Linked DNA regions of Alligator mississippiensis. The protein of the gene in region 2 interacts with the protein of the main gene of each other region in a pairwise test. Links are inferred from orthologs where the notes say so. Each region holds a gene or a part of one and is shown on either strand. Other genes may lie near its edges. The genes, in order: NPY and NR1H2.

The links.
Region 1: the proteins of NR1H2 (region 2) and NPY interact in a two-hybrid assay, tested with the Homo sapiens proteins (3 studies listed by BioGRID and IntAct). The link is inferred for Alligator mississippiensis from reciprocal best matches to the Homo sapiens genes NR1H2 and NPY.

Annotation. Positions count from the first base shown.
Region 1 is NC_081828.1:158,223,941-158,227,843, forward strand, and holds the start of NPY (pro-neuropeptide Y), read right to left. Parts: upstream 2,552-3,903; 5' UTR 2,444-2,551; intron 2,185-2,443; exon of another isoform or gene 2,091-2,184; intron 1,804-2,090; coding exon 1,616-1,803; intron 1-1,615. UniProt on the Homo sapiens protein: NPY is implicated in the control of feeding and in secretion of gonadotrophin-release hormone.
Region 2 is NC_081828.1:40,185,153-40,189,055, reverse strand, and holds the start of NR1H2 (oxysterols receptor LXR-beta), read right to left. Parts: upstream 2,497-3,903; 5' UTR 2,412-2,496; intron 1,650-2,411; 5' UTR 1,527-1,649; intron 1,386-1,526; 5' UTR 1,345-1,385; coding exon 1,314-1,344; intron 994-1,313; coding exon 847-993; intron 263-846; coding exon 1-262. UniProt on the Homo sapiens protein: Nuclear receptor that exhibits a ligand-dependent transcriptional activation activity. Binds preferentially to double-stranded oligonucleotide direct repeats having the consensus half-site sequence 5'-AGGTCA-3' and 4-nt spacing (DR-4).

The DNA.
Region 1 (3,903 bases), about 120 Mb from region 2:
TGAGAAGAATGCACCTTTATTTCTTGGCACTAAAGGAAACAAAAATGAATATGAAATACATGCAAACAGTGAGTCTACTGAATCAGGTTATAACATTTTTATGTGGTCACTTCTCAAAAATAGGTAGTGTTTGAACTGTTGTTCTAATGATTAAATCAGCTGACAGAACTTGCATTTGACACGTGAGATATAAGAGAAGAGGCAGGAGACCAATAAAAACTCACATGTCTGAAAGATGGAAAAGACAACAGGCAGAGTGGAAAGATAATTTTGTCAGGTGCCAGAGGTCCAGATGAAAAGTTATCAGATCACAGGCTAACATGAATGCTATACAGGATAGCAAATTGAAGATGCGTCTTTTAAAAATGTGGGGCTAAAGAGCAGTCTTGTTATAAGTCCCTTCATCTGCTGTCTCTGACATTGGTGCCATACCAGACAATGTCAACATTTTGCTAGGAAGGCTCTCAGTTAAAAGATATCCTTCCTTCTAATTTAATTCTTCAGACTTCAAGAGGAAACAAACCAATGAAAATGTAATTAAAGATATCTCATCCATTTCTGATACTAAACGAATTGAATGATAATTCAAGCCTTTCTGGGCCACATGCTGTTCAGGGGTTTCAAGCGAAGTGCATTCCTCTGTTAACCAGAGGAATTAAATTGGACGACTCTTCCAAATAAAGGGATTTACTTGGAATTTGGCTGTACACCTGGCTGTATTTTTACCTTTCACTCCAGTTTAATTTTTTACCAGACTTCAACTAGTTAGGCTCAGTCCTAGATCCCTTTTCTAAGGAAAGGAAGGTTTGGTAGGTTTGCATTACTGGTGCAACTTTTCTTTTTTTTTCCCAGTCGTACCTACTAGGTTAAGCAGCTGTTAAGAAACACAGGATTTCTGAATTACTACAGGACTTCAACAAGAACACAGTTCCTTTCTCCAGGAAACTTATATTAGACGTAGTAGCCACAATGGAAGTGTAAAAGTGGTTTTCTTCCTCTGCCTCACACTTTCATGCTCCAAGTTGGTTATATTTTATTTCCCTCCCTCCTCTGTCCTACTGCTTATGTTCGTGTCCAAACTATGCGTGTTAAAACCTAACAAGACTGAAGGAAATCAGGCTCAGGTTGATACAGCCCTTTTCCCGCCATTACTGTCTGCATCTTATGTTCTTAAGCTAATGAAGTGGCGAGTGTTGAGAGTACTGACAGGGCTGTTTTACATCTCCTCCAGACTCCCACTAGACCATGCTCAGGACCTTATGCCAAGTCTCTACCTAGAACAGGGTGAGATGGCTGTATTTTACACCTGGGAGGTATGAAGAACCCATCATTCATAAATCATACCGGAGTTCAAGCAACACTCCACATAATGTTCATTGCTGACTGCTGTAGATAGGGAAGAAACTTCTCACATAGAGAAGTGTCTGAGATGTTAATTTATTTCCCCTTTTTTCTACGGATTAAAATTCAAGATTCTCCTGTGAGTCACCTTTTGTCCCGTGTTTCTTAGAGACCTGGAGAAGAGGTGTGCTGAGGAATACAAAGGCTTCCTCCCCACAGGATAGCCTAGCCTTATCTACCCTCCATTGCCACGCTGGGATGCACATTGCCTTACCTCTGCCTTGTGATGAGATTGATGTAGTGCCTCAGTGCCGAGTAGTATCTGGCCATGTCCTCTGCTGGTGCATCCTCTCCAGGATTGTCCGGTTTGGATGGATAAGCCTCTGCCAGTGTCCCCAAGCAGATCAGCAAGGACAGGGCAAAAGTCAGCACGGACAGCCACAACCTCATGGTTCCCTGCATCTGCACAACACCGGGGGGTTGGGGAAAAGGGGCAGAAAAGAGCATTAAACTGTATGCCTGTGGGCAAAACTTTGTGAAAGGAGACAGAAGTCGGCAGGCGCCAACCTGCTTTTCTCCTCAGAAGAATCCCAGGCCAAGCGCTCAGCGCTCACGCCTGCCCGGCGCAGCCAGGAGCTGTCCTGCAGCCTGCTCCACATGCAGGAAGGCTTGGCGGGCAGCCGAGAAACTTTGAGCGCCTTCTCTCCACCCCGCACCTTGCTGAGGGGGCAGCGCACAGCCTCGCTCACCTTACTAGTCGCTACCAAGTACTTCACTACACACTTGGATTTGGGGGCCGGGGGGAGCGGCAAACTAACCGACCCAGGAGGGTGCAGGCATGAAGCCCAGCGCGCCGGTTGCAGGCGGCGCGTGCGGCAGGCACCAGCTTGCTGCGAACTAGGAGCTCCGCGGGGCAGGGGCAGCGGCGGGCGCGGAGAAGAGCCGGGCGGGGCGGGCTCACCCCGGGGCAGGACGGGCTGGGGCGGGAACAGGGAGCGCCCGAGGCTCCCAGCTCGGCGCAGGAGCGGGGACAAGTCCTTCCCGCGCCGGGATGGGGGAGAGGCTCCGGCAGGGCGGGCTGCTCGGGGCCGCCCGTACTCACGTTGCTGTCGGACAGCCGGGCTCTCGCTCCTCCTGCAGCCTCTCGCCCGTGGCTCGGCGCTGCTGTGTGCGGCTCAGCGCCTCGCCCGGGTTTTTTATGGCTTGCCCGGCGAGACGGGAGGGGCCTCGGTGGCTCCGGTCCCACCCCCGCCTGCCCCCCCAACCCCCGCGGCGTGGCGCGGCGCGGGCTCCGGCTGCCCCTCCGACTCCCCCACCCCCGCCCTTCCCAAGCGGGCTCTGTGCCGGCCCCGCTGCTCGGGCCCTGCTGGAGGTCCCGCTCCGACTCTGTGGCCTTGCCCGTGCCCCTTACACCGACTCCAGCCCTTGACGGCCGGCCGAAGAAAACCCGGCCTTGGCACCCGGGTCCTGTGAAAACCCAGAAACTGGCCCAGCAAAACGAGCAGGCGCTGGGGCCGTGGAGGCAGGGAGAGCCACCAGCACAACTACAGCAGTTTAGGGAGCCTAGGAGAGCTGGGCTAAGATTGCGCCCTGTGTGGACATGCACTTCCAAATGAAAAGGGACCTCTTCCCCTAGAGCAGGGGTTGGCAACAGTTTGGGGCAGAGTGCCAAAACCCCCTGCAACCTCAACTTGTTGGCGTGCCAGGGGCAGGTGGCAGCGGAGCAAAAAGGGGTCTGGATCCCTGTTGTGGCCGCGCAGCCCTGACCCCTTTCCCACCACCCACCTCAAGGTGTGCGCGCCAAGCAAAACACCTTTGCGGGCCACGCTCTGGCACCTGTGCTAGGGGTTGCTGAACGGGCTGTAGAGCTTCCACTGGCTCCAAAGCGCACAAGGTTTGACAAGAACAAGTCGTATGACAGCAGCAGCAAGAGGGGATTCAAATGGCTCCTAGGAGTATCTGGGACCTCTTGAGCACAGATTGACATTTTACAGAAGCAGGAGGTTGTTCGCTGCCCTGGTTCCCCTGCTTCACCTGTGGCAGGTTAGGGTGTTAGGTCTGCGTGCATCAGGACTGAGGGTAGTCTTAGGTAGAGTTTTTTTACAGTATGGTTATATGTGACAGTTTGGAGAGGGATGATCCTGCCTCAGGCAGAGGGTTGGACTAGAAGCCCTCAGGAGAAGCCCTACTTCTCTATGACACTAATGCCTATGCATTTTGGTGTCAGAAAACAGCAACTGCACATCCATTTGCCAGCCTCTCAGGCTTCATTCGCAGAGCTACAGAAAAAATAACAGCCAGTAATCTAACAAAAGAGGAAAAATGTATGCTAGCAAATAAAGTGATCGCCTGACTTTCAAATCAGGTGTTTCTGGTTAGCTGCTCATCTTTTTACCCTCCTATTTCTGTTCTGCTAACATATTATTTTATTTGATTTTTTGTCTTTAGAGTTAAATAAAACAAAAAAATTATAAATATGAGTAGTAAACACCCCATCAATTACTTTTAAGACTACAAAATAAACCCAGAAGATTTAAAAAAATGGACAGAAATAAATTAACT
Region 2 (3,903 bases):
CGCATGCCAGCCTGGCGGCACTTGCGAAAGCGACACAGTTGGCATTTGCGGCGCATGTAGGGGTCCATGTGGCATTGGCCAGCACCACGGCAGGCATACTGTGCCCCCTTGATGACACTGCGGCGAAAGAAGCCCTTGCAGCCCTCACAGCTCAGCACATTGTAGTGGAAGCCTGAGGCTTTGTCCCTGCATACACTGCACCGCTCTGTGCCCAGCATCTTAGGCGCCGGGCCCTTGCGGTGGCGCCGCACCGGTTCCTCCCCTGCAGCCATAGGGATAGAGGAGCAAAGTGGGGCATCAGGGTCAGGCTCAGAGCACCAGGCCTTGCCTGCTGAGCCTTGCCCATTATGCCCCACTGACCCCCCAACTACTTCCCATGCCTCACTGACCCCCCCCCACTGCCCCCAACTCACTAGCCCTCGTACCCCACTGCCCCCCATTCTCCACTGTCCCCGCACTGGGCCCTCTGACACCCTTCCATTGCCCCTCCATGCCCCACTGCTCCCTATCCTCTTATGCCCCACTATCCCTATATCCCATTACTTCCCCACTGCTCCCCATGTCCCAGTGACCTGCCCATACACTGCTCCCCACTGGACCCCCCATGCCCTACTGCCCCCCCACTGGCTGCAATGATACCCCTCCACTGCTTCCATGCCCCACTGCCCCCCATCTCTTTAGCTACTCTCCTCAGTTCTCACCCATTCAGCCCCACCAGGGCCCCCTGTCCCTGCAGCCCCACTGACAGCCAGCTCCCCTGCCCTGCTGAGCCCAGCACCCACAGATGCACTCCTCACCCCTTGCTCTAGCCCCTCCCACCCCATTCACCACCCCCCAGCCCCTCACCAGTGCTCTGGGCGGTTCCTTCCCCATCGGTGCCCGGCACCTCACTGTCTGCTACAGCTCCCAACTCCAGCTGGGAGTGGGGGCCCTCGTTCTTCAACTCTGGGTCAGGGGCTCTGGTGGGGGCTGGGCTCCAAGGCTCCCTGTTCTCTGGAAAGTGGGGGGGAAGTGGGGGAGAGAGGTCAGCAGTAGTATCCCCAAAGGAGAAGCCTGTGGCTGCCCAGACACCTGGGTCTTTGGTGGAGTGCTGCAGGACTGGGGCAAAGGGAAGGGAGGCTGTGGGTCCTCAGATGCCTGGACACCAGAGGGAAGTAGCCTGGGTTCCTCTGATGGGGCTTCTGATGCCTGGGTTCTCCTGCAGGGATTATTGTGTTACTTGGGGGGGGTGGAAGGGCAGCCACTGCCCGGATGCCTGGGTTCTGTCACAGAAAGGGACCCCACACCCACACCCCAATTTGCCCGTCACTCACCCGGCAGTAGGTCAGATCCCGGTGTGGCCATGTTGGGGCGTGGTGGGCTGCCAGTGGCACCCAGTCCCAGTGCTACAGAAGGAGAGACAGAAGGATGGTCAGACAAGCAGAAACAGACCCCCCACCCCACCCCACCAGCACTCACCGCTGTCCCACAGAGCTGTGAGGGAACCACCCCCAGGCCCCCCACAACCAATATCTCCCACTTCTCACCATGTCCACCACCTCCTGGGGGCAGGCTCAGCTGGGCAGGGGCCACATGGCACTGCCCTGGGGGGCACTGGGGCAAGTTCTGGGGGATCCTTCAGGGTCTGGGCTGCTCCCAGGGGAATAACTCTGAGAAGCAAAGGGAAGTGGGGTCCTTCCTGTTTGGCAGGGAGTGCCCCCTTACCTACCACTCCCCCCCCCCGACATTCCCCAGCCCCTTCCCCTGCTTGGGGCTGCCACCCATGCCCCACCTCACTCCCTCCCAAATCCAATCCAAGCTCTAAACCCCCAGAACTCCTCCCATCCCTGATTGCCCCTCTAACTCCCTGCCCAGAGCCCCTGCTTCTGCCCCCCACACACTCCATAACCAAGTCCTGGACCCATCCTGCTGCCCACCCTTCCTCCTTTCAGACCCCTCTGCTCTCCTCACACAAACCCTACAAGCTCCTAGTCCCCCAGCCTGCCCCCCCCACCTTGCCCAGGCCCCCCAATCCCAGTCCCTCATGCCCTACCCTTACCTCCCAGCCCAGCCCCACATCACTCCCCCCATCCCAGCTCCGGACCCCCAGTGCTGCCCCTCAGCCCCAATCCCCCCCAGGCACCTGCTTCTCTGCCCCCCACACCTCATAACTGGGTCCTGGACCCTACTCTGGTCCTGTCCCTCCCCCAACCCTGCCTCTTCCTTCTCCTCCTTCCCCTCCCGACCCCCCTCTGCTATCCCCAGCCCCACAAACTCCCAGCCCCCTGTCCCGATCCCAGCCCCCTGCCTGGCTCACCCTGCACTTATCCCAGCCCCCCTGGCCTGCCCAGCCTCGCCATCCCAGGCTCCATGCCTGCCCCTACCCCCCATCCCAGCCCTCCCGGCCCCGCCCCCGATCCCAGACCCCATACCTGTCTCCTTCCAGGCGCCCCCCCCCACACACACACACACGCACACGCATTCACACGGGCCTTTCCGGGAACCCCCACATCCACGTCACTTCCAGCCCAGCCCCCCCGGATCCGGTGCAATTGGGGAGGAAGGGGGGGTGGAACCGGCTGTCCCCCCCAACCCCGTGCCCTGGGGGGTGGGGGAGCGGCGGAGGGGCTCGGGCTGCCCCACTTAGCCCCCTCCCCCCGCAGCAGAGGTTGCAACATTGTTGCTGTTGGGAGCGGAAATCTGCTTTCTACCCCCGTCACTCCTCAAAAAAATCCCTTGCCGGGTGCGACCGCCCCCCTCCCCCCAGGAGCCGCGGCGCAGAGTCGGGGTATTTTGGGGGGCAAGTCTGAGCCCGCTGGATTGAGGGGTTCCCGACATACAGCCCCTAACATTGGAAACGTGTTTCCCCTCTCAGCTCCCCGCAACATGGTCCAATCTGCTCGGAAGTCGCAGCACAGATCCCGGGATCCGGCTGAATCTTGTCTGGGGGGGGGGGGGGACGCGAGCAGTTGGAGCTCGCTGGATTGAAGGGTTCCCGAGATAGGAAACCCCCTTCCAGCCTGGGGGCGCGTTTCTCAGCTCCCTCCAGTATGGTCCGATCTGCTTGGAAATCGCCACTGGGATTCCGGGGGCTGCGGGGGTTAAGAGGGGTAAATCTGAGCACGCTGGACTTAGGGATTCCCAAAATAGGCCCCCCAATCTGGAAGGTGTTTTCCTCTTAGCTGGCCGTGGCATGGTCCGGTCTGCTTGGAAATTGCAGCAGGAACCCGGTGGGGGGGCTATGGGAAGCAAATTTGAGTTTGCTGGATTTAGTAGTTAATGAGATATAGCCCCCCCCCCCCCCCCGCATTGGAAATATATAGCCTCTCAAATGCACCGGTGCCATCCAATCCCCTTGCCCAACACTGGGCTGAATGGCGGGGCGGGGGGGAAATTTTGGGGGGTAAGCTTGAGCTTCCTACTTCGAGGGGTTCCCCAGATGCAGCCTGCCCCCGGGTTTGTAGCTTGCTCCTGCTTTCCAGCCCATAGACAGAGCCCCTGTACTGGGGAGTCACGTGGGTGGTGGGGATTCTAAGGGGCAGGTTTGAGCTCCCTATACAGGAGTCGCTGAAAGGCGCCCATCCCAAAACTGGACCCCCCCACCCCCAACAGGGGCCAGAGAGGAGAGAAGACCTGGCTGGGGCTGGGGGGAGGTCTCTGTACCAGGACAGGAAATGCTACAGGGATCTCAAAACCCAAGGCCTGCCTCATGGGGGCACCCCCACACTCATCTGCCCAGGCCCACAATGCTTCAGGGCTGGAACCCCCTAAAAAGGAAAGGCCCCTGCTCTATCCCTGTCCCCTGTGCCAGCCCATGCCCCTGCACTGGGGTTGGATCTGGGCAGGCACCTTCTAGAAGGGAAAGGCTTCTGGAAGTGGCCTCATGGCAGGGAGGGGGCTGGATTGTCCCACACTTGCCCCAGC